Xenopus tropicalis: one gene and its partners. The main gene of each other region encodes a partner of the protein of the gene in region 3 in a complex. Links are inferred from orthologs where the notes say so. Each region holds a gene or a part of one and is shown on either strand. Other genes may lie near its edges. The genes, in order: actr2, arpc5, arpc3 and arpc1b.

The links.
Region 1: arpc3 (region 3) and actr2 share a complex: the UniProt entries of both Homo sapiens proteins name them as parts of the arp2/3 complex. The link is inferred for Xenopus tropicalis from reciprocal best matches to the Homo sapiens genes ARPC3 and ACTR2.
Region 2: arpc3 (region 3) and arpc5 share a complex: the UniProt entries of both Homo sapiens proteins name them as parts of the arp2/3 complex. The link is inferred for Xenopus tropicalis from reciprocal best matches to the Homo sapiens genes ARPC3 and ARPC5.
Region 4: arpc3 (region 3) and arpc1b share a complex: the UniProt entries of both Homo sapiens proteins name them as parts of the arp2/3 complex. The link is inferred for Xenopus tropicalis from reciprocal best matches to the Homo sapiens genes ARPC3 and ARPC1B.

The regions. Positions count from the first base shown.
Region 1 is NC_030681.2:31,966,182-31,972,095, forward strand, and holds part of actr2 (actin-related protein 2), read right to left. Parts: intron 3,742-5,914; coding exon 3,526-3,741; intron 2,795-3,525; coding exon 2,722-2,794; intron 1,602-2,721; coding exon 1,465-1,601; intron 652-1,464; coding exon 502-651; intron 1-501. UniProt on the Homo sapiens protein: ATP-binding component of the Arp2/3 complex, a multiprotein complex that mediates actin polymerization upon stimulation by nucleation-promoting factor (NPF).
Region 2 is NC_030680.2:99,901,958-99,908,370, reverse strand, and holds the start of arpc5 (actin-related protein 2/3 complex subunit 5), read right to left. Parts: upstream 3,902-6,413; 5' UTR 3,875-3,901; coding exon 3,735-3,874; intron 2,606-3,734; coding exon 2,533-2,605; intron 2,163-2,532; coding exon 1,986-2,162; intron 921-1,985; coding exon 858-920; 3' UTR 1-857. UniProt on the Homo sapiens protein: Component of the Arp2/3 complex, a multiprotein complex that mediates actin polymerization upon stimulation by nucleation-promoting factor (NPF).
Region 3 is NC_030677.2:162,789,054-162,794,967, forward strand, and holds part of arpc3 (actin-related protein 2/3 complex subunit 3), read right to left. Parts: intron 2,428-5,914; coding exon 2,328-2,427; intron 1,715-2,327; coding exon 1,638-1,714; intron 1,475-1,637; coding exon 1,406-1,474; intron 640-1,405; coding exon 513-639; intron 1-512. UniProt on the Homo sapiens protein: Component of the Arp2/3 complex, a multiprotein complex that mediates actin polymerization upon stimulation by nucleation-promoting factor (NPF).
Region 4 is NC_030685.2:41,788,993-41,795,454, reverse strand, and holds the start of arpc1b (actin-related protein 2/3 complex subunit 1B), read right to left. Parts: upstream 4,451-6,462; 5' UTR 4,322-4,450; intron 1-4,321. UniProt on the Homo sapiens protein: Component of the Arp2/3 complex, a multiprotein complex that mediates actin polymerization upon stimulation by nucleation-promoting factor (NPF).

The DNA of each region.
Region 1 (5,914 bases), on a different chromosome or scaffold from region 3:
ACCAGTGTGGCAGGTATTGAAAGATTTCAAAGAGGCTGTTCACTGATTACATTTTTGTGTGTGGGGTTTACATGTCCTTTAAACTATACTGTACTTTTGCCCTGCACTGGTAACTGTGCAATAGTGCTCTTCAGATCAGTTAGGCGACACAGAGTTTGTTGGCACATGTATAGTTGACGGAAAGCCCAGACTATTTCTAACCGTGCATGCACCAGCAAGCTCTGTGTCGCCGATCTGATCCGAAGAAAACACGAAGATTCAGAAGATGCTGTCTGCTAGCTCCGCTGCACTGTTCTGCTTGTATAGAGCAGTTTTACTATCAGAGACACTGTTCACTGAAAGACTCTGCGAGGAGCAGGGAGGGGTCTCTTTAGATGGCAGTGGATGGGGGCTTTAAAACATCTAGTTACACCACTGATACAGAGAGAATGCTTTTCATATCTTTAAAGAAACACAAACACTTTGTTTACAGAATGCTTGGGAGAGGAGTATGGTACTCACTGTGTAAGACTCCACAAGGACTGTTGTCTCTAGCGCAAGTTTCTGCTCCTGTTCAATGTTGTATCCCACATAGCAAAGCTTCTCCTTGATCATACGAACAGTCTCAAAATCAGCAGAGTGGTTGAAAGCATACCCTCGTAGTAAGAGCAACTGCAGGAGTCAGATTGAAATACATCATTGGAAACAGTTATACAAGCTTATCTATATGTTCACTTGTGAAAGTGTTTTGTAACAGAAAAATGTATTTATTCAAATTTAAATGAAAGCTTTTTAAATTTAAATAAGAGGTTTAACACAACTAAATTTTACATTCGATGCATACAGTGCTATTATTAGGATTTATTTTTTTCGCCCCATTTAGTGTGGTTAAACACTGCATTCAGAAGAAATTTTTAGTCTAACTGGATTGTTAGTGACATTTACCATAGCAATCATGCAATAGATTACATTAAATTTATATTTTATATTAGCGGGGGAACCCTAAGCATGCATTGCATTTGCTTTACTTATCCTTACTGTTAGGAAGGGTGTCTAATATACAAGAAGGTTTATTTTCAGTCAAAATACAGCGTAAATCTACTGACGAGTATACCACACTATACTGGAGAAATTATCATGGATAAAGGGCTTATTAAGTTAAAAATCACTAAGACACTTGAGTACCCTTGTTATACGCAGCCATGTAATGCATGTTTTTCTAAACTACCAGGCAGCACAATATATTTTTAAAGTCCAGTGATATTGGAAGGGACTACATTAACTTAAATAGGAATGGTTTAACAGTACTAGCACAATTCTGAGGGCAATTCTGACTTCACATTAGAAATATCAAAAATATCATTCGAGTTGCAGTATAAATAAAATCCAGCAGGACAGCACTTATATAAATGAATCTCTCAGATTACCCATTTTTAGCAACAATGACAGGCAGGAGTGATAAAATGAAACCTTCTTTAATTTTACCTTTATAAGGTAGCGGGTGATATCCCTGCCTGCGATATCTAGTCTCCTGGTGAGGTGAGGCAGAGAGAAGCCTTCGTACACAGGGCAGATGTGTGTGACACCATCTCCAGAATCAACCACAACACCAGTCAAGAGACCTAGAAAGAAGTTGAAGTGAACAAACATGCAACATTAATAAACCGGCTTCAGTTCCACCTACAGATCCAATTTGTTACTGACATATTACTGGCAACAGGTATGAGGCCTCCAGTGTCGATCATTATCTAAGTGCGGTAACGCTTTTACCCGTGTGTGTGAAATGACATATGGCTCATGCTGAATTTACAGAAATTTGTACCAACAGCATAAACAACAAAAGGATGTACCTATACTTAGTCAGCTACATTAAGCACTTGCCTGCAATAGATCATAACATCAAATAAACTGAACCAGCATCTAAGAAGCCCAAAGATGGACTATTTGTTTTATTTATAAAACAGTTTCCATGCTTGTAACAGAACTGAATATTTGTGTTATCCTTTATTTTAACTAAAGGAGATAGCTTGATCTTTTTTTGCCCCCTCTCATTTTGTTGGAAGGGAGAGGATGGGGCACTAAGGCTAATGTCCCAATGTTAGTTGCCCAGGATAGATCTCTGCTACCATTGGTGAATAACTCCTTTTGCTGCCGGTGGAAAGCCATTACCGAGAGGTTAGTTGCCCATGGCAACAGAGATCTATCTAACTTGCTTCTTGGGACATAAGCCTTATGGTATGTGGCCAGTACTTTGTAGTGATAAAACCAGCGACTGCCATTTGTTATTTATTGGAGTAACACAGAAAAGTAATTTAAAGGGTGTGACTATAATTTATTTTACCACTATATTCGTCTAACAGAAATATTAGAAGGTGAAAGGCTCTCTGGAAATTCTATGAATGTATTACTGGTGTTGCCACCAGTAATCAGCAGCCATCAGCAGGTATAATATAGCAGCCATGTTGAAACAACTTCCTGAATTTGCTCATAACCTGAGCAAAGAGAAACTAAACAGCGCAGTCTCTCCAATGTAATAAGCAAGATTCAGTATTGTGCATTGCAGTCCTGTAAATTCACATTTCCAAGTAAAATAAATTACAAGCAGAATTTGTTTGTGAAACTTGTGTGAAAATGGGTAATCAGCGTTAAGTACACACTGCTACGGCTCATGTAAAAGATTACAAGGGGAAAATATTCTGACAATATTTCATACATACAGACAAAACTTCAGAAATCACCCACCTTGTGCGTATAATGTGAGTACGGCCTGTATTGCTACATACACACCGGAGAACTGGTAGGTCTCAAACATTACCTGTAAACAGAATTTATACATTTCGTTATTATACTGCTTAAATAAAAGAAAAAAAAAGAAAAAATTAATGGAGTAAGACAAATAAGTGATAATATGACTAAATAGGCACCAGGAGCACTTTTATACTAAGTGCTATAAAGATCATATAAGTATAAGTATAAGCTCAATTATAAACTTTCCTAATGCCTGTTTTTTGCCAAAATCTGTACCATAGAGTACTACCCATGCGTGCCCTGAATGGGGCCAAACAGAAGATGGCAAAAAATGAGCTCCTAAGGCAGTGAAGATTTCCACAAACACAAGCACTAGCCCAGGTCACAGCTAAGCAATAATAATTAATGTGGGGGGGGGATAATATGCTTTAGAAACACTACTACAAAACTACTACTACAAATAAGCTGGGTGGCAGCCATTCAAGCTGACAAAAAAGTAGAAAAAGCATAGGTTAAATACCAGGTAACAGAAAAGGTCTGTAAAATACAATGGTTTTTTACCCGATATCTGCTACGTAACCTGTGCCTTTTCTCCTTTTTTAAAGCTTGAATGGCTGCCCCCATGGCAACACAGCAGCTTTGTTTAAGAAGCACTATTAGACTTTATTTATACTTTATTATAAACCAATACACAACTTATACCAGTGCAGGGCAACAGTACATTATATTTTAATTACTCAGATACTTTTTTGATGTTTCTGGTCACTTAATGGTGTCAATGTACAAGGGATAACATACCTCAACAATCTTTTCACGGTTTTTAGTTGGATTCATGGGGGGCTCTGTAAGCAGGATTTTACAGTCTCTGGTGTCTATGTTCAGTTTTTCTGGTCCAAAGGTATAGTCCCAAAGGTGCTTCATATCATCCCAATTCCGCACTATACCATTCTCCATGGGGTAGTTCACTTCCAGCATTGAACGCAACTCGCTGGCTTCATCACCGACCATCAGATCCTAAAAATCATAGCAAACATAGCTCTCAAATGTGTGTATAAAAATGAAATGTAATGCCATTTAAGATGCTGCATAAAATTACTTGCCCAGGAAGAGCACAAAAGCTCAGCAGCCTATTCCCTGTAACTGGGTATCAAATAGCCACATTCAGATACTGGTGGGTATATATTCGCATAGGCCTTTTAAATTTTGAAAATTAGATCAATCTAATGCACCCTCAACTACTGGTGCTGAACAAAAGAAACAAACCCACAGCCAACCAGTAAATGGCAGCAGTTCAGGGTGGTATGATTGTGTGTGTCCCAGGAGTAGGTATAAGAATAGCCACAGACTGCACGTCACTGGTTCATTACCATACTGTATTTTAGCTGTAGGCCTAGAGGTGCATTAGACTGCATCCTGAAAAGCTTTAGAGGATTCCTTGCTAAAACAAAACTGTTGAGAAAGGTAAAGCATTTACACATTTACTAAGTTCTAGTAATAAAAATCCTCTAATGAAAAAAATAGTTGAAAATATTTAACTTTGGACTTCATCTTGTTCCTAGTTTGACTTTTTTCAATTTCTGACTTTTAACGCCCACCATAAAACAACTGCATGTTTATGCATGGCAACACATACTATAAAGAAAAATTCTACTTATGGCAAAGTTGCTCAAGATTCAGCTCTATGAGACCGAGGCCCTAAACCAGTGTTCCCCAACCAGTGACTCAGGGGTAACATGTTGCTCACCAACCTCTTGGATGTTACTCCCAGTGGCCTCAAAGCCAGTGCTTATTTTTGATTTCCTGGCTTGGGGGCAAGTTTTGGTTGCATAAAAACCTGGCAAAATGCCAAACAGAGCCTTCTGTAGGCTGCCAGTCCACATAGGGGCTACCAAATAGCCAATTATAGCTCTTGCTTGCACCCCCAGGAAATGTTTCCATGCTTGTGCTGCTCCCTGACACTTTTTCCATTTGAATAAGGCAAACAGGTATAATAAGTTTGGGAACCCTGCACTAAAGGGACTACCAGTAAAAGAGTAACTAACTGCCCCCCTAGGGTTTTTTTGTTTACCATTGACACTAAAACACTTCATAACCAGTTGATGAAGTCCTTGCGTTATGAGGTTTTTAAACTTGCGAGATATCATTTGATCATGCCATTCCTTTGGCCACATATACATGCCAATATACTACTGACAGCACATTATTTTTTTTTTTTTACAGCGCTGCAGAATATATTGGAGCTTTATAAATACACAATAATACTAATGTGGTCTAGTTTGTGTGTGAATGCAACTGGTAAATACTAAATAAAATATTATTTGACAGTACCCTGACAGTGTAAGTGTACCTGGTAGACTGATTATCCTATCAAACCTATCAGCCTATGCTAACAAACCTGATTCAAGAAATCACCTTGATAAGGCCTTTAGCATACCAACACATTTGCTTAGCTTCCAGTTCCTCCTACTCAGTTATATAGCAAACTGTTTAGCAGATCAATGTGGGTGGAAAACAGATATTTTAAGCTCTGGTTTATTATAAAATGAGCACATTTCTCTAAATGGCAAAGGGCAGCTAAAGACAGGCAGCAGAATCCCACAAAGCATTACATGTTAGAGATGTTCTCCTTACCACTAAACTGGGCATTGAGTATTTGCAAAGGTAATGCAGAAGCACCACATGCACCTAAATCACTAATATGTTTATTGTGAAATACGTATTCTGCTCTGTAAATTTCAGCACATACTGTTCTATAAAAAACATGGTCAAACATATTAGTAAATTTTAAACAATATTAAGTGTTACGATTGCAAATGTGTTCCAAAGAATTCATGCATGTTAATGAACTAGGAACAACATTTCAGCGGAAGTTACCGGTAATTGTTAAAAATCACGCCTACGAATGCCAACACACAATCATGAACAGCAAGAAGCTTTAGGTATTACATGTAATTCTTTGATGCTAAAGTGGCTGGCTTTATGTAAGTTGCACAGCTCTGCGTGCTCATGGAACAGACTATTACTGGCAGATTATTTTTAGCACTAACAGGGAACCTGTTTGTATTAACAGATGCCATTATTTTGAATGATCTAAGCAGTACCTGCATCTGTTTATATATAAAATCAGAATAACTAACAAAAGGGCAAGCTGCCCTTGCTATAGAGAGAGCATTTCTGAATCTACACG
Region 2 (6,413 bases), on a different chromosome or scaffold from region 3:
AATAAAAACCAAAATGTAATCTTAGGCCATTATTGGATGTATGGCAATTGGCTGCACAGTGTCAGTAAGTACTTTTAGGCAATTAAGAGGTAAGTTCTGAAAAACAGACAAATTCCCTAAAGACCCAAAGTCTAACTATATGTTACTTACTTATAAGTAACTTACACTTACTTATAAACAGACTATGGATGAACTTGTAAATGTGATCAAGTCATCTCTGCTTTTTGATTTGGGAAAAGGCTGCTATAGCTGCATAGTAAGCACTGTCTGCTGCATCAAGCGCAAAATATCCCTTTTAAACATTTAGGCCCTGAGGGAGTAATGTAATGAAATCCAGATTCCTCCAAGATATGTATCGGAGATATCTGTTCAGAGATATAAAAGCTTTAGATTGCAAAACGCCACTCCTGAGAGTATGCTCCTAGCTGACTGGAAAATCGCAAAGCAGAGGAACGGACAGTGACTTTGACTTAAGACCAAGTTTGGTGCTTTTGCCCTAGAATTAATGAGGTTAGAAGGTGCAGTTAGATGTAGGTGAAGGGAGCACTGTAAGTGCCTATATTTACTATCAGTCCACATATTTTTGGGGAAGGGTGATTATTCAGAAGAGCCCAGCTCATTAAGGGCAGGTAATGAAATGCAGATAACTTAATACTTCTGTCAACAGAGCACTGCACTCACAGCACACACTTGTACTGCTTTGTTCAAAAAATGTATAAAAAAATCAAAGCTGCAAAAAACAGAAGGAAGAATAGAAATGTGGCAGCGAAGAGTTAAGGGTTGGCTTGCCACAGCTTAGCTGCGGCACAGGATTTTGGTCTTGGCACCAGCTCTTCCTTGTCACAAAACATGAACATTCAAACGGTCTTTCTTGCAGTCAGAACTCTGACTATGGAGCCAACGCCTGCCACTGCCAGAGCCTATGGAAAAGAAAAACATAGGCAAAAGTAAAAATGAGGTGGTAATGTATTCAGCTAATTGGTAATGTTGCCTTATTTTTTTTAATACAAAAGTACCCATAAGGAGTTTATTTAAAAGGTTTTGTCAATACATTAGCATTCTGACCAAACGTGACAGCTGTATAAAGAAGAGGCTGTGCTATCATTTATTCCTGTCCCTCTAGATTCAGTGACAACATTTTGTCAATCTGGACAGACCCTGCTTGGGTTTGTCCAACTATTTTGTTAAAGCCATATTTTAGTTTTGCCATAAAGAAGAAACTCGAAAAATCGGATTGGAAACGAACATTTTGCGATTTTTTCGTGAATTGTCGCAAATTGTTGCAACTTTTTCGTAGCCGTTACGACTTTCGCGAGTTGTCGCAACTTTTTCGTATTGAGCGCTTTCGTACTCGGCACGAGAGTACGATTTTTTCGCGACGGAAAAGTCGCGACGGCGACAAAAAAAATCTCAAAATACAGATCATTACAAATTAGTAAATTTGCCCCTAGGAGTTAAATCCTTGTGTACATGCTCCCTCACTGAACAAGTTTTGGGAGGGCATGAAGTGTGCTGTTAACAGTGTTCCAAAACTGCTCAGTTACTGCTACCACTCAAAAATATAGAATCAGATTTCATGGATAATTTTGTCCCTAACAACTGCTGCTAGGGGAGACCTACAGGGTCTGAAACATTTTTAGAAGAGGGATCAGCATTAAAAGGTATCTACTTATATGGGAAGGCACTGTATGCCTTTAAAGAATAAGTAAACCTTTTTTTTTTTTTTTTTAATCTAAATTTACTCTAAAATTACTCTGTTTAGCCCCCAGAATAACATACCTTTTTTCCCTGCATCCAGAATTACTTTGTCTCTCTATTACAAGCAGATGAGCTGCATCTCTTTTACCGGCTTCCTTGTCTAGTGTGAAGCCCCGCCCCTTTTGCTTTATGAGTCCCCCTTTCTCTCTCTCCGACTATGATGACCTAATAGAGGTGCCTACTCTGCATGCCTGATGTGTTTGTCAGCTCCATAGTACTTTGCTCACCTTCTCATGCCACTGCAACAAGACAGCACTGCTGTTGTCAGACGGACTCTCAAAGCCCTTGTAGATGTATTTCATTAAGAGGTCCATGTTATTTTTGTCTAAAGATTGAACAGCCTTTTCTATGTCATTAGCTTTAAAGGAGATTAGAACTTTCAGCACCAGGTGCTCAGCTCGATCCTAAGTAAAAAGCAATGATAAAGTCAATGTCCATACTCCAAAATTTAAAATAAAGAGTTAGAAAATTGTAAAACTGTATTGGAAAACTTGCTGGTATGACCAACTGAGTAGTGGCTGATTATTGGTACAGAATGCATTAAGTGCAGCAAAATAAGTTTGGCTGAAAGTAAGATATGAATATAATTTATAAAATAGTGTGGCAATAAAACTATTGGCAGGAGGAACAAAAAGCAAAGAGGAAGTAAGCACTGACTGATGTATATTCTGTACCCAATACGCCACTTTATAACTACCTTATTTATCCTTCAGCAAATAATAAGCAAATGAATAACAATTTGTTTCCTGTTGTATTTTACTAGAAGCATATTACCTTGGCAGACTGATTCTTGGTATTAATTGGTGGGTTCTTTAGAGCAGCTTGCAGAGCTCCCATCATGTTTCCTGTAGCAAGCTGTTAAGGGAATAACGTACTGACACAAAAGAAATGCCATACAATAATTACAGAACAATTTCAGTTGATGCTTTATATTCACAGATCCCTATATGGCCCTGGCCTAATATTAGCATAAATCTGAAAAAGCCTACTGTGCATATATATGGAAATATGGTCTGAATTGAAAATGTGTTAAAACTAATGAAAAAAATATAGATCTGGGACAAAAGTGTAAAAAAAGCCAACCAAGCAGAAGTTCCCATGCTTCCTGATGACTGAGACTGAGCCACTTCCTGCATTCCTAAACCTGAAGCAAGACCAAGCTTGCCTCACAAAAACATATAGCTTGTACTATAACACCACAACGACCAATAACTGCTACAGAACCATCAAGGTGTGTTTAACTGTGTGCTCAACCTGTGTGTAACTTGGCTCAAAGTCCACTATTGTATTATCCACCCTTGGAAACACCGATAAGAAAGCATGTAAATGTATGTGATTTCAAACAGAGAGAGAGTGAGAAAGAAAGTGTTTTTGTTTAGATAGACAGAGAAAAAGAAACAAAATGCACAGGATAAAGTGACTGACACTCCCACAGCCTCACAGCAAGTTCCTCTTTGTAGGAAAAGGAGATTAACTACTGACATTTCCTACACAGCAGAGCCTCTATATACGGTTTGCAAGTATTTTGCTTGCCATAGATCCTTTAGGTATGTAATATGGAGTCAGTGTGCAAACTGGAGTTGGTATGCACAGCTTCTGCATATCCACACATAGCAAATGACAAGGTGCATAGACAAAAGCAAATGTGTATTGACTCCAGTTTGAAAGCTTATTAGGCTACCATATCAGGACTATGCCAGTTTATTCTAGTAGATATTCCTGAAACCTTAGCTTGGAGATCAAACAAAGAGAAGGGTGTAGGGGGAAGTATAGGCTTTGCAAGATGAAGATGAGTACAAAGCATGACAGGAATAGTGGAAACAGTGGCAGTCAGCCCTCTCCATGTGACACCGCACACCTTCAGCATGTTAGCACTATGACACGGTACAGCCCATATGTCAGGCGATTAGGAGCATGTCTGTTCATACAAAGGTACAATGCCAGGCCCTGCCAGCACAGACAACATACAAGGATATCCCCGAATCGCGCTATCAACCTCCCCCTCGTCGGGTCCTTGCTGTCCTTCTCCCGCCTCCTCTTCGTCAACGAATTTGTTCTCATCATATTCATCCACATCTACTTTCCGGAAGCGTGCAGACACCGTATTCTTCGCCATCCCGAACCGGAGACTCTGTGCTGCTGGCAGGGAGCGGTCGTACTCAATGCGCAGGCGCAGCGGCTTCCGCTTTTATTCTCGGCTTCCGGAGACTGTCAGAGCGCTAGTTTTGCTGGTGTGGTTACCTCTGCCGGGATTAAGGCAGTATCAAAGCGTTCAGTCTATTCTGTGGGCTTTACCCAGGCGGGACACTCAGGCTGGGCCCGTGGGTAGTACATTTACCTGGGCGGTGGAGGTGTCAGGGGATAATCAGTTTGGTGTTTTCCAGTGACCTGACCTGTTGCATGGTAAAAAAAACTGTGGCATGGCTTGCTGGACTGCTTTTGTACAGAAAAAAAGGATTTTCTGGCAAAGTCCTCACCGTTTTGTGGGTTTCACGCAGTGCAGGACGGGTGTTTATATAAATCCAGACTAAATAAATAAAGTTAGGTATTGTAAGTGTATTGAGTGCATTTTGTGGAAGTCTGTGTTGCTGCATATGCTGATGGAATATGTGTATTTCCAATAGCATGTTTTATATAATATCCTGTGGTTGTCATCCCCTTAATTCAATGTTCCAATAGTTTATGTAATGGTACTATAGCAATGGCTTGTTGTCAGATCTTGTTATAATGTTAGTGTTTAATATAAAATAGTTTTTGCTTGTTCTACCCCCTCCCCCTTTTCCTTCTGAGCCTCCTCCATTCCTTGGGGCTGTTGCCTCGAGAGGAAACTTTGTCGATTTCAGCGCCGCGTATGGCATCCCACTGGCGATTTACATTCTAGCCGGTGGGATGGCATTTTGGGAAGATTAGTCGCCTGCACCAAGGTAGATTTGTCGCATGGCGACTAATCTCCCCGTCTGTCACAGCCCTTACGAAAGACGTGTAAATATAGAATTAAAAAAAAAAAGAATATCCTGTGGCAGACAATTATTGCCCCCCGGGTTGTGGACCCCTAACAAGTAACATAGTAAGTTAGGTTGAAAAAAGACATATGTCCATCAAGTTCAACCATAATGCCTATATATAACCTGCCTAACTGGTAGCTGATCCAGAGGAAGGCAAAAAAGTTTCCTGCCCAGTTCTCACAGGTGACATAAAACCTCAATATAGCGTCAAACAGTAATAAGAATGGGAACACAGGAGCAACTATGCCCTTCCATTGCCTGACAGGCTTTACTAGGCACACTTTCTTCTTTTTTTGTTGTTAAAAAGACAGATTCTAAAAGTCTTTCTGCATTTGGTTAATATGGTGATTTTATACACAGTAAATTGTCATTCTAGACACCATTTTCATGGATTTGGAGTACCGTTTAAAATCAGTCAATGTGAGTTTTTTTCTCATCATAAGCAACACTTTGGTGGTGTTCATAATGTCAAACTCATGTACAGGCAAAATGTTGCTACTTCAACTTTATGACATAAAAACTCATTTCTATGTAGGGTGGCAATAAAAAAAGCGTCATTTGGACAATTGTAAATTTGTCACATATGCAATTTCTATGTTATTTCAGTTGTTTGGTTTGCAACAGGGATTCAGTGAATCCAGGATAACTGAAATAAACAGAAATTTTGTTCATAGATATTGCATTTTATTGATTGTTCTCAAATTTGCACACGGACATTAGAGATTGGAGTTGCATAAGTATTTTGACAAGTCTTTTATGAAATATTCAGAATTTTGCCAATTCCAAAAATTATGAATGTAGTCAGCTAATCCATGTCCATGAAAAGGCACAATTGCAGGGAATATTTTTGAAGTCTGGCTCACGTAATTTCTGGTATTTAGTGTGCGAGTGACCTGTGCACCCTATTTTTTGGGGGCAACTTATCTGTTCCACTTAATTCAGGGTGCTGAGGGAACAGTGGAGCTACCACCTAGTCCAGAGGTGGCTGTAGCTCATTTGTCAATAGGCCAGCAGCACCTGATGGTCTAAGGACTAAGAGGACTAAGCTGTGAATATTAACACTGTAACCTGTAATGGAAGTGTTTTTTTATGCCCTGCTAACTGCAGGGAAAAGTGCAAGTTGCCCACTGTGCATGCAGACATAAATGAGCTCTATAGTAATATATATATAACAACATTTTTATAGCAATTTTCTGCTGTGGGACTTAAAGCAAAATACAAATATCAAATTCCAGTTACTTATGTTTTTGTATCTCTCAAAACCAGGGCCGCCATCAGGGGGGCACAGCGGGGACAGCTGTACCGGGCCCGGGCAATTTTTACTTTTAAAGGGGGCCCGGCGGCGCTACAGTTTTCTTAGTCGCTCAGGCCCCCTTTAATAAAATCCGGGCCCTGTCATTGGCTATCTGGATGGTTGCGCCCCGTGTGTACATGTGACGTCAGTACGCACGGGGCGCAACCTTATAAAAGGGCCTGTCTTCATTCGCGTGGGGATGTAAGTGCAGAGGCGTCGCCTGTGAAGGATCGGAAGATGCCGCTCGCTGAAGATGAACTGCTGCAGGTCGCCAATGTGTTAGGGGGGGGCTGTGGGGCACACTGACCACCAATGTATATGGGGGCACTGCTGCTGGCACCAATGTATATGGGGGC
Region 3 (5,914 bases):
GCATGTCTGCCTGCTTCTACCTGGTACCCACTTTAACTACATGCAAGCCTCTACCTTTAGGCTAATGACCCACGAGGAGATTTAGTCGCTGCGATTTTTAAAAAACGAGTTCAAGCGACAAGTCGCAAGTCTTTTCATAACAATCGATAACTAGAGATTTCAACAACAAAGCGATTCTATTTCCCACGAATCCAGGTGTCGTATTCCCTACCCACAATTAGAAATTACATTCAGTGAATGGGGAAATCAGAGCGACTTCCCACTCAGTGATTTCTTTGTAAAAAGGGTCTCATAGTGATTCGGAGCGATAAGCAATTTGAAGTAGTATTGTCATTTTATGTACTGGCGATTTTTATTCTTCTCTATGTAGAGACAAAATGAGCGACTTGTCGCTGGAACTCACTTTTTAAAAATCGTAGCGACTAATCTCTCCGTGGGACATTAGCCTTACAGACTGATCTGTGGAATTAGGCATAAGGTCCTTTACACTACAGAAAACTCAGATTACTTACCATCCTCCTGTTTGTTGGAAGGTTTCACATACATTGCATTTAGGGGGAATCCTGGTTCTCCAGGGATAGGAAAGTTTGTAATCCCCAGTGTATACATTTCCTTCTCTCCCTGTCCTTTAGAATTGCACTGGAAGAACAACAAAAAAAAACATTAACCAACAAAACAGCATGAGCACATTTTTTCTGTTTTCCATTATTCACAGAGGTGAAGACGAATGTAAGGCTACAATGTATCCCGAGAAAACAACAGGATTTCACATTGACAGGGCAAATTATACTTAAAAAGCAGATGCCCTATTTATCTACATTAGATCAACATTGAGATACTTCTGTCACATGAAAGCATATGTTTTCTGTTTTCATTAAACTATACAGAGAATTTAAATACAGCAACATGCTATAATAAGTAAATATAAACTTGGCTTAGGGGTCTCACACATACACCAAGTGCATATTTGTAGCAATGAGGGCTTGTCCTTGTTCATTTGTATATCTCGCACTCTGCACAAATGAAGCTTAAACAAGACACAGAACCTTATTCAGAAGCACTGCCTATAAAAAAGGCACTTTTGTAAAACAATGGACAGCTAACAAAACAAAGAGAGAACATTTATGGTATGGGACAGGTAAAATTTGCTATGTGTAAAGTACTTCAGCCATACAAATGTATATGCTTTCTTTAAGCTGCATTCAAAGGAAATACAATGCATGGCTAATGGGATGGTGTGCATTACAGCACTAGTGGATACGAGTGACATACAAGTACACATACATGTATATGCGTAGGTCACTTGGGATATAAATTATCTGCTGGTCAGTTTTTTTTTCCTAATAATGTATAGTTCTCCTTTAAGTCATGTAGTATGTAGCACAAAAAGGCTACCAAATCTTACCTTCTGTAGTTTTTTTAAGCATTCGGAAATATACAGAGTTATGTATATTAATGTCCGATCAGCCTCGTTCTGTAAAGAGAAGCGTTTATATACAAACAGTGAATATTAGTTTTGTTTACTAGCGAAAAAAAACATTATTATAAAGCGAAGTAGGAAATGTGCCCACTATGTGGATATAGAATTTGCAACGTTTCAGTAAGATTTTTTTGCATAGTGAGATCTGATAGCTTACCTTTATTTCATAGTTTTTGAAGAAAACATTAGCCTTAAAGTAATAAATAGCTTCATCAATGATATCTGTGTCTTTTGCTTGAAAGACAAAATACAAAAGTGATTATGGACAAAAATGCTGTAATGTTCATACAAGCTAAAAACTTATATTCATTTTGCAATAGTTAAATACTTAAATATTTGCCGATTTATAACAATTGTACTAGTGCAGTTGTCCTTAGCAACTGATCCGCTTTGATCAAGCAACCAAGATCTGATTGGTTGCTATAGGCAACATATCATTAATTAACATAATTCATATTTTTTTGTTGCAAATTATGCCCAATGCCTTCTCTCTCATTAATGGATCAATTAAAAAAAGCTATATATAACATATACCTACATGCAAAGCAGCACAAAACCCCATTATATAATGCATATAATCTCCAATATAGAATTTTATTATTTGCATTACAATATATAATTATATATATATATATATATATATATATATATATATATATATATATATATATTACATAATAAGCAGCAATCACTGCATCACGGACTATTGATGGGCCTAAAGTAAAAATTCCAAGAGAACTACTGAATTAACACTTGGTTGCATTGAGGAATCCTCCAGCAAGCTGAGACCCGCCACATGGATAACATGAGGAATTTATGTAAAACATTTGGGGTTGGTAAGACTTACTTTCTCTAGGGGCTGGTCCTTTAAACTGGCTTCTTATGGGTAGCATTGCCATGTTACCAATCAGCTTGGTGTCTGACTCCATAAGCATTGAATGGTAGGCCTGAAACACAAATCAGAAAAGCTTTAACATTTTAAGAGCTATATATGCTCAGTGTGAAAAGGTTTTTTATTAAACTATTTTTTATCCAGACAGTTGTTTTTTGTTAGAAATGTATAATCTTACACAATACCTCAGTCAATTCCTTCAAGATTTTCTGCAGCCACTAGCTGACCAGTAAGACATTTATGCCATAATAACTGTACCATTAGGTGGACAGTTTCTATAGTATTTTATCCTAATTCTCCTAATTACGGTTTTACATTACCAATTATAAAAAGATTTATATATAATGTTCAGAATTAATATCTGATTTTAAGGCCTATGCTGTTACCCAAATCCTTTTGCGTTTAGAGAAAAGGATCACCATTAAAATGAAAGGGTTTCTCCATCCAAAAACAATTTATTACACAGTAAAAGAAAATGTAATTGTATGCAACTTTCCAATATGCGTTCATTTTAAAAATTCAATGGTTTTAAAGTTATTTGTAAATGTAATTGCTACTGAACACAGTATCTGTCATAACTCTTCTAGGTCTGTTACATTGTTTTAATACATAAACAAACAGTACTTTCAATTACAACTATCTTTATAAATAACTTTATACCCACTGAAAATCTTTTGCTTATGTATATGAAAGTTGCTTAGAATTGTTTTCTTTTTATCCAAAAGACTGTGTGCGTGGAGGACCCCTTTAAGCATTCAGGGAGGAGTAAAATAATGTTGCAGAAGTAGCTGGGGGTCATTGCTATGTGGGATAGTTCTAACATGCACAGCTACATTTTGGATACAATACTTGACCTTGAAACTTGACCTTGAAACAATATTTTATACAAAGGTGTGGCCTTGCTTTACTTTTGAGTCTCAAATTTCATAACTAATCACGCTAATAAACATTAAGGCCTATGGCATTTTTAGAACAGATCAAAATTCATGTGACCTGCTCAGGGGGCTTTCATCTGTTAGCAATGTGAAGAACCATGATTTATTCCAGCAGGTCTGGACTGGGATTCAAAATAGGCCCTGGCATTTCAAGTACACAGAGGCCCAAACAGCCCCCACCAGCCCAATATATAGTGACTGTCTATGGCATCTTACAGTAGCCCCTCTGGCATTTGTCAGAACCCACAGTTCAGGCCTGTATCCCAGCCCCCTGATAATCATGCATAGTACAGAATGGCAACCCACAAAGCTTCCGCTGCACTATTATATAAAACCACAAATGTACATTAGTGCTTTACAAGGTGTAAACACAAACAGGGGTATGGTTATTATAAACTAGACAGTGATAATAGTACATAAATGCTAAGAGTTTTAACACACACTTAAAAGAAGGTTGTTGTGTATGGTGTTTCATACACACAAAGCGATTTCATAAAAATAAAATACCTAAATATATTAGCAGTATGTGCCATAACAATCCCATATTGAAACACTTCCATTTTAAGTGCTAAAGTCTGCCCTCTCCCTCAAATGAAGTACTGTGCTCACAGTGCTAGTTTACATCAGGAACCTAATAGACAGAGCTGTTTATTTCACTCCCTGTTACAGTAAGTGCTGCACTATTGCCTGTCAGGTGATCTATGTGGGAGTAAACAGATTAGAACCAAATGGTGATTTTGTACTGAAATGATCTGTCATTGCTGGCTATGTAAATCGCCACAGCAAAATTTTTTATATTGCATAATCTAGAGTAAAGGTGGCCATACACGCACCGATAATATCGTACGAAACGAAGGTATGTCAGCAAGTCGACCGATATCGCAGGAAGCTGCTGATATCGCCCGACTCGCCGATCGGACCAGTTTGAAAATTTTGATCGGGTGCCATAGAAGCCGCCTGACCAAAATCTCCCTTCATCGCTGAATCGGCAGAAGGAGGTAGAAATCCTATTGTTTCTACCTACTTACCTGCCGATTCAGCCCTGAATGGTGTGTGGCGGATCTGACGATGTTTCGTGCGACCGATGGTTGCACGAAACATCGTCAGATCGCCACGTGTATGGCCAGCTTAAGTACCCTCCAAGGCATTATCACACAATCTGTTTAATTTGCATTGCCTGTAATGGCATTGTCTTTCAGTTGTTTTGTTGCCCTTGCATGGGCAACAAAATGACTGGTGTCTCATTGCCCTAGAACAGGGCTGTCCAACTGGTGGCCTGGCGACCCCCCTCTGTGTGGCCCCCCACCTGTCTGGCTGCTTTGATGGCTTACCTTTGTGTATTACCTTTAAATGGTATCAGTACTGAGATTAACTGCCCCCTGCATTGCTCACACCTCAGATTCAGGCTGTAATCCCCCTGTATTGTTTAATCATGTAATCCCCTGTACTGTTCACACCTTTTAATGCCTTCATTGTTTTCCCCCTGCAGTGTTCACACCTCAGGCTCTGGCTGTAATCACCCACATTGTTCCCCTGTTCACACCTCAGACATTCCCTCTGACACATCCAGCATTGTGTCACTGTATGCTGCCTGTGTGTGCAATAGGGCAGGCATAGTATGGCACACATAGGCAGGGGTGGGAAGGAATAGTATGGCACACATAGGCAGGGGTGGACAGGAATAGTATGGCAGACATAGGCGGGGGGGCAGGCATAGTATGGCACATACAGGCAGGGGAGGGCAAACATAGTATGGCACACATAGGCAGGGGAGGGCAAGCATAGTATGGCACACATAGGCAGGGGAGGGCAGGAATAGTATGGCACACATAGGCAGGGGTGGGCAGGCATAGTATGGCACACATAGGCAGGGGGGGCAGGCATAGTATGGCACACATAGGCAGGGGAGGGCAGGAATAGTATGGCACACATAGGAAGGGGTGGGCAGGAATAGTATGGCACACATAGGCAGGGGGGGGCAGGCATAGTATGGCACACATAGGCAGGGGAGGGCAAGCATAGTATGGCACACATAGGAAGGGGAGGGCAAGCATAGTATGGCACACATAGGCAGGGGAGGGCAGGCATAGTATGGCACACATAGGCAGGGGAGGGCAAGCATAGTATGGCACACATAGGCAGGGGAGGGCAGGCAGAGTATGGCACACACAGGAGGGGTAGGGCAAGCAGTACTCTGCCTGCTCTATGCCTCCCCTATGCTGCCTGTGTGTGCCATACTCTGCCTTCCCTATGCTGCCAGTGCGTGCCATACTCTGCCTTTCCTATGCTGCCTGTGTGTGCCATACTCTCCCTGCCCTATGCTGCCTGTGGAAGGTGAACCTGGCAGGGGTTTGTTCCTGGAGTTTGGCATTTGGATATAGTCATTATATGGTCCCCAAGGGGTGTAATTATATGCTGGGGGGTTGCTGTGCTATCCACAGAAGAGGAGGAGGCATATCGATTTAAGTGTATAATACATAATATAATTCTTTCATATATAAATTAAGGGTGATATCCCTTCAGTGAGCACCAACCATTGGGTTTTTGCTGTGTTGCCACCATTAATGTGGGGATGGTCTTAAAAGCTCTTGTGATAGCATGGGTGTA
Region 4 (6,462 bases), on a different chromosome or scaffold from region 3:
GTATAGTGCCTTTTTAGTTTCAAACACCTTTTTGTTTTTAACGCCTGCCAATATAGCAGGCTATCAGAACACTTCCCCACACCCTGATACAGCAACATGCACAAAGCTACTCTCCTTCAAGCTGTGCTAGGGATTGACACAGGTTAGTAAGTGAAGGGCAGGGGGCACTTAGAAGAAAGGTTTACCAGTAGGAGAGTGACCCTTAAAACTTTGTAGGTGACTGTTCAAATCTAATTTCTGATTGGTTGCTATGAGCAACATCATGGGTGATTTGGTGGCAAGTTTTGGTTAAATGAAAGCAAAATTTACTACCAAATAAAGCCTCCTGTAAGCTGATAGTGTGCAAAGAGACTACCAAATAGCCAATCTTATTTGGCACCTCCATGAACTTTTATTGTGCTTGTGTTGCTTTCTCTTGTGCTTTAATGCAGTCCTTGATCTAATGGCCTACATAGCTGCAATTAGGATCCAAAGAAAGATCTGCACATTTAGTAACCTCACCAAATGAGCAGATCTTCATTTGTTTGAAGTCCTCCCTCATCTCATTCCATTCCATTGTGAAGTGATGGATTCTGGGACGTTTTGTACATAATATGTGCACCGCAGAAAGCAAAGGGACGTTAGGTCCATGGAACTATAACTTGACAATGGAACATTGAAAGTAAGAGAGAGGTTCTATGACATGGTGAGCCTGAGATGGGTATGGAATTGTTTGGTATGAGTATCATGGTTTACTTTTAATTTGTGTAATCAGATAGGTCTGTAAAAAAGATTTATTTCTGGAATTAAATCAGTTTATGCACCTTATCTGCATAAGCCCAACTAAATGATCTTGTGTCAAAAAATGGCATTTATTCCATTTAAGTGTGAAACCTTGGCACTACCTTGGTTCTGTAAACAGTTAAAGGGAGCTTTATTTACTCCATAATACTTAAAGCCCCAGATAAATTGAAGGATTTTTCTTTTTAGTGGAAACAAATAATATTGACTCAGACAGGGAGGGCTCTGAACAAATAAAGGAGTTTGGCCATTTAGACAGATGAGGCAAGTCACCAATCAGATTGTTTCATATTTACTAGGGATGCACTGAATCCCGGATTAGGTTCGGGGTTCGGGCCTAATCCAGCCTTTTTTTGATGGGTTCGGTTTCGGCCAAATCCACGGTAACGGGCGAACCGAATCTGAATCCTACTTAGCATAAATTAGAATATGCTAATTAGCACCCAGAAAGGAGTTTTAAGGAATTTTATTTGTGTACACGGCAACTTTCAACCCTTTCCAATCTTAATTAGCACATGCTTAATTAGGATTCAGTTCAGGATTCAGCAGACTCCATCAGGGTGGGTTCGGCCAAACCCAAAAAAGTGGGTTCAGTGCATCCCTAATATTTACCCTTATTATTGTGGTTCTCCAGTAAAAAGAAAAATAGGCAGTGGTACTTGAACACTTTATAAAAGATTTCTGCATATTCCTCGTTAAACAAGTCAAAAATATAATGTCTGTTGTTTAATTGGTTTCTCATCTCATTCTTAAAGTTGTTTGCATTTGATGGTATTCACCAGTTTAATATTCCATTTACAGTCTACCTGAGTCTAGTTACAAAGAATATCTGAAAATCTTTTTAAAAATGTATATGAAATTTTGTTGTGTATCAACTAAAACACATTAATTGATACATTGCTGAATTTCAGAGCTTTACCACCATCAACTTCTCTTTACCTTATTAAAGGGGATATGTTATGCAATACTCATCTTCAGGTATATTATTCTTCCCTTCTCACAATAATGATGCAGAAATATACATTTTTAAAGCATTTTACCTTTTTGGCAAGAGCTGCAAAAGAGCTGCATGAGTCTAGGCTGAAACTAGGAGTGTCTCTTCATTCTCTCACAGGAAGTGGTCACACCACTAAACTCTGCATTAGAGGGAAGTTTCTAATCTACCTTCCCTAGCACATTTACACACACATCAGTAGCGCCTCCCCATTACTGCCTTCCCCATGCTCACTCACTGGATTCACTCTTGATTTGGATTCTAAGGGCAGTTGCAGATGGGGAGATTAGTTGCCCCGCAAACAAATCTTTGTTGCTGTGGGTGACCAATCTCCCAGCAATGCCATCCCACCGGCAAGAACGTAAATCGCCGGTGGGATGGAATACGCGTCGCTACGATTTCCCAAAGTCACCTGAAATTTTCCTCTAGTCTAGAGAAACATGTACTGCATGAGTATGTGTGCATGTTCCAGGGTCACTGATCCTCTGGCTGTGTCAGAATGACAGTACTGCACATGCCCCTTTTATTTGCATTTTCCTGATCGGATTGGCCAAAACATGTCAGCCAATCCGATCAATGACCAGCAAAGGAATGGAAAAAGATTACTATGCTCAAAGGGTGAGAGGCCCCTTGGCTTGCAGAGAGGAAATATGAAAATCTATGCAGTGCGATATAACTACCTATATACATACATACATACATATACACACACATACACACGGTATATTTAGAAACTGTAGTAGACTTAAGGAATGGTGATCCAAATTACAGAAAACCAATTATCTGGAAACCCTCTAGTCTTCAGTATTCTGGAGGTTCAGAGCTGTCAACGTGACAGCTAGACTAGCCAGGGGAACTGTGCCCCCGAAAATTTTCCCCGATACCCGGCAGCAAAGTTACACATACTTTCGGAAGTGCCGTCACGCACACACACAAAATCGCTACTGAAGCCAAAAAATTCTCCCTGTACATGTGCAAATGCATCAAGTGACATCACTGAATGTTTAATGCTCGTCTGAAATTCATTGTAGGAATTCATAAGACTACTGCTGGGGGAAGGGAGAATGGGGCAGAGCCTTTAAAATTGGGTAACTCTCAAAGAAATAAGGGGAGTTGACAGCTCTGCAGGCTCCATACTCGTCCGTAGAGAATATTTTGGCATATTGAAGTGACTTTCTCTTTAACACTTATAGTTCTACTATACTATCCAACTTGTGATTTAAGGTTTTCTGCATCAGCAGGGATATTTTCAGGGCCGGATTTCCCCTGAGAACACCCATAGGCCGGTGTCCCACATCGCCCCCAACCCAAATTATTCGACTATCAGTCGCTATCCATTCTCACCCAAAATTTCAGCAATAAGACAACAATACAAGGCAAACCAACTAGCCAAGGCCCAAGACAGAGGCATAAGGTCTTAGGATGTTAATTGGCAATAATTTGGGGGCCAGTCATGTTTTTTTTCGTTGCTTAGGCAATGTTTTATATTGGAGGGGGCACCAAAAATGAATAGTAATATAGATAATTATCAATCTCTATCCATCTTCAATTACACAACAATATAAGGCAAGCCAACTAGATAATGCCAAGACACAAAACAGAGGTATATACCAAAAGGCACAACAAGTTAATAAAATAAATAAGTCCAGGACTAACAAAGTGCAGACAACCGAGTTAGGTACTAAGGAAGGGTGGGCAGCGAATCCGGCTGCTGCTGAAATGTAACATGAAAAGCCACTCATCTCTCTGCAAAAGCACATGCACACCTTATCCGTGGAGAGAGAGAGCTGGTTTGAGGAAGCTATAGGAATATTCTTTGTTTTTTTTTCCATAGTAAACTGGCACACAAACTTGATACTTAAAGGGGTTATTCACCTTTGAGTTAACTTAACGGGCCCTTAGGATGAAGATACATGGAGCTACTTAGTAGCAGCTACTTGTCACAGCTACTAAAGAAAATACCCTGCCATAGACAATACTGATTATTGCCTCTGCTAAAACACACAGAGACACAATTAGCAGTAAACGATCAGCATTGTCTCTTTTAGTAGCTGTGACAAGTAGCTCTGCGTGCCTTTCACCCTTAAAGAGGAGTATTCCTCACTGATTGAAAAGTCAAGGCGTGGTTCCTCATGCGCATTTTAAAATGCATTGAATTAGAGCAATAAAGTAAGAAGGGTGTTTTTTGTTTTTTTAAGTTTAATGTGGCTAGTACTAATAACTCATTTCTTGCAGGGTTCCCTTAAAAGATTTTGCAATTGGTTTGATCCGGGCAGGTTGACTTTTCAAACTTCAGTAGTAACTTTTGTTTAAATATTTTAATGATGCTCACCAAGTCCACAGGGACAAAAGTAAAGGTTTCGGCAGAGAAGCAGGTATAGGAAGATATATAAGACACTAACAGCACACAGAGGAAGTTGAGTTCTCCATGAAGCTACAGGATACGCCCTAACTCAGAGCAAATATTTAGTACAAGAGAAATTTCTGCACCGTCAGTTAGGATCAACAGAATCCAAGTAGCACAAAGATATTGCATGAAATACTCACTTGCTCCTGTTAGTAGGTACAGGGAAAGACGGCTGCTGTCCGTGGACTCTGAGCAGTCAACACAGATGCAGCGGAATGCTGAATGTCTGGAACTTGTATCAGACTCTGCCCAGGCTTTTTGCTACTTCCTTATGTGGGGGTGGGGAGTGCAAGCTCAGAGACAGAGGAAAGCATTACTAACAGTAAAACCCTCCCCTCAGCTTACTGCTCCTTAGGCTGATGAAATCAGCACAGGGAGATTGCTGGAAAATTTTAATGTAATACATTTTTGCATAGATTTTGGAAAAGTATTGGTCCAGGGCCTTTTTGGGTTGAATTGGAGTGTGGCGAATATAAAAGGACATTATCATGTAAATATGCATCTAGGGCCCCTGTAATAAAAGGGTTAAATGTGGAATCTGCCCATGGCCTATTGATTTTAAGGGCTCACTGTCCCACTATGACCTCTTTAACTTAATTGTTCTAAACCAAGGAGGGAGTAGGAGGAGGGCAGGAACTAAAGACAGAGAGAGCTCAGTGTGTCAGGGGAGATCTAAATTCAGAACTTCAGATAACTGTGCGTCAGTGCCCAACATATGTATAATAATACTCAGTGCCGGATTTCAAATCCTGGCGCCCCTAGGCCGCCCATGCGCGAACAAACCCACCACCCCTGCGCCGCGCCGACGCAAGCATGCATGCACGGGCATTTAAACTCCCATACGGAGCAGTTGGGAGGAAAAAATAAAATCCCAATTCCAAATAATATCCCAGAATTATTATGGATCAAATACAATGTCAATTCCATGAACATTCCAAATGCTATCTTTTATTTATTTTGCTCCGTATGGGTGCAAAATGTCAAAATTTTGTTGCGGTGGGGCGGCATACCACCCTAGGCCCGGGCCTTTGTGGCCTCGCCACAAATCCGGGCCTGATAATACTGACACTTCAGCTTGAAAAGAAAACACTGTGCAGACACTGGCAATCAGTACATCTCCATGGGGCCAAAATTCCTGCTCATATAACCAGTGCACCGGAAGCAAAATAGAGAGAAATGCTTAGTAAGGGGAGGGGAGAGATCTGGGTGTGTTTTCAGAATTCCTTTATGTGCATATCTAAACGAGACTCCTTTGTGTGTCTGTGTGCAGTGCTTATACAAGCTTAAAGGAACAGTAACACCAAAAAATGAAAGTGCTTTAAAGTAATTAAAATATAATGTACAGTTGCCCTGCGCTGGTAAAACTGGTAAGTTTGCAACAGAAACGCTACTATAGTTTATATAAATGAGCTGCTATGTCAACACGGGGGCAGCCATTGAAGCTGGGAAAAAGGAGAAAAGGCACAGGCACATAGCAGATAACAGATAAGCTTTGTAGAATATAATGGGGTTTTATCTGTTATCTGTAACCTGTGCCTTTTCTCCTGTAAATGGCTGCCCCCTTGGCTACACAGAAGCTTTATTATATAAACTATAGTAGTCTTTCTAAGGAAAACACACCAGTTGTAGCAATGCAGGGCAGCATTACATTATATAGTAATTACTTTTATACACTTTCATTTTTTGGTGTTACTGTCCCTTTAAGTAAATTACAAAAATATTGTATCTGATCCATAATAATTATGGGGTATTATTTGGAATCGGGATTTTATTTTTTCTTGCAGATGTTAGTCTGTATTTTCTCCAGTTTCTCCCCACCCCCCCAATACATACAGGCAGGTTAATTGGCTCCAGATAGAATTGTAGATTGTAGGCTCCACAAGGGCAGAAACTGATTGGAATGATGTATAATCTTCTGTATGGTGCCATGAAATATGTTGCTGCTATAAATAAAGCATAAAAATACTATGTTCTTGAGCATTATACATGGAGTTGGCAATGCACTTTATCTGCCACATTTTCAAGGGGCAATTGGCTCTGCATTTAAGCATCAAGTTAGTACAGCATTTATTTTACTTAGCTGAATTTGTGTGCCAGTTTATTATGAAAAAAACAAAGAATATTACTATAAACAGCCTTCCGAAACAAAAAATCACCCTTTAGGGATCTGGCACATGGGGAGATTAGTCGCCCGCGACAAATCTCCCTTGTTGCAGGCGACTAATCTCCCCAATATGACATCCCACTGGCGAAAATGTAAATCGCCAGTGGGATGTCATAT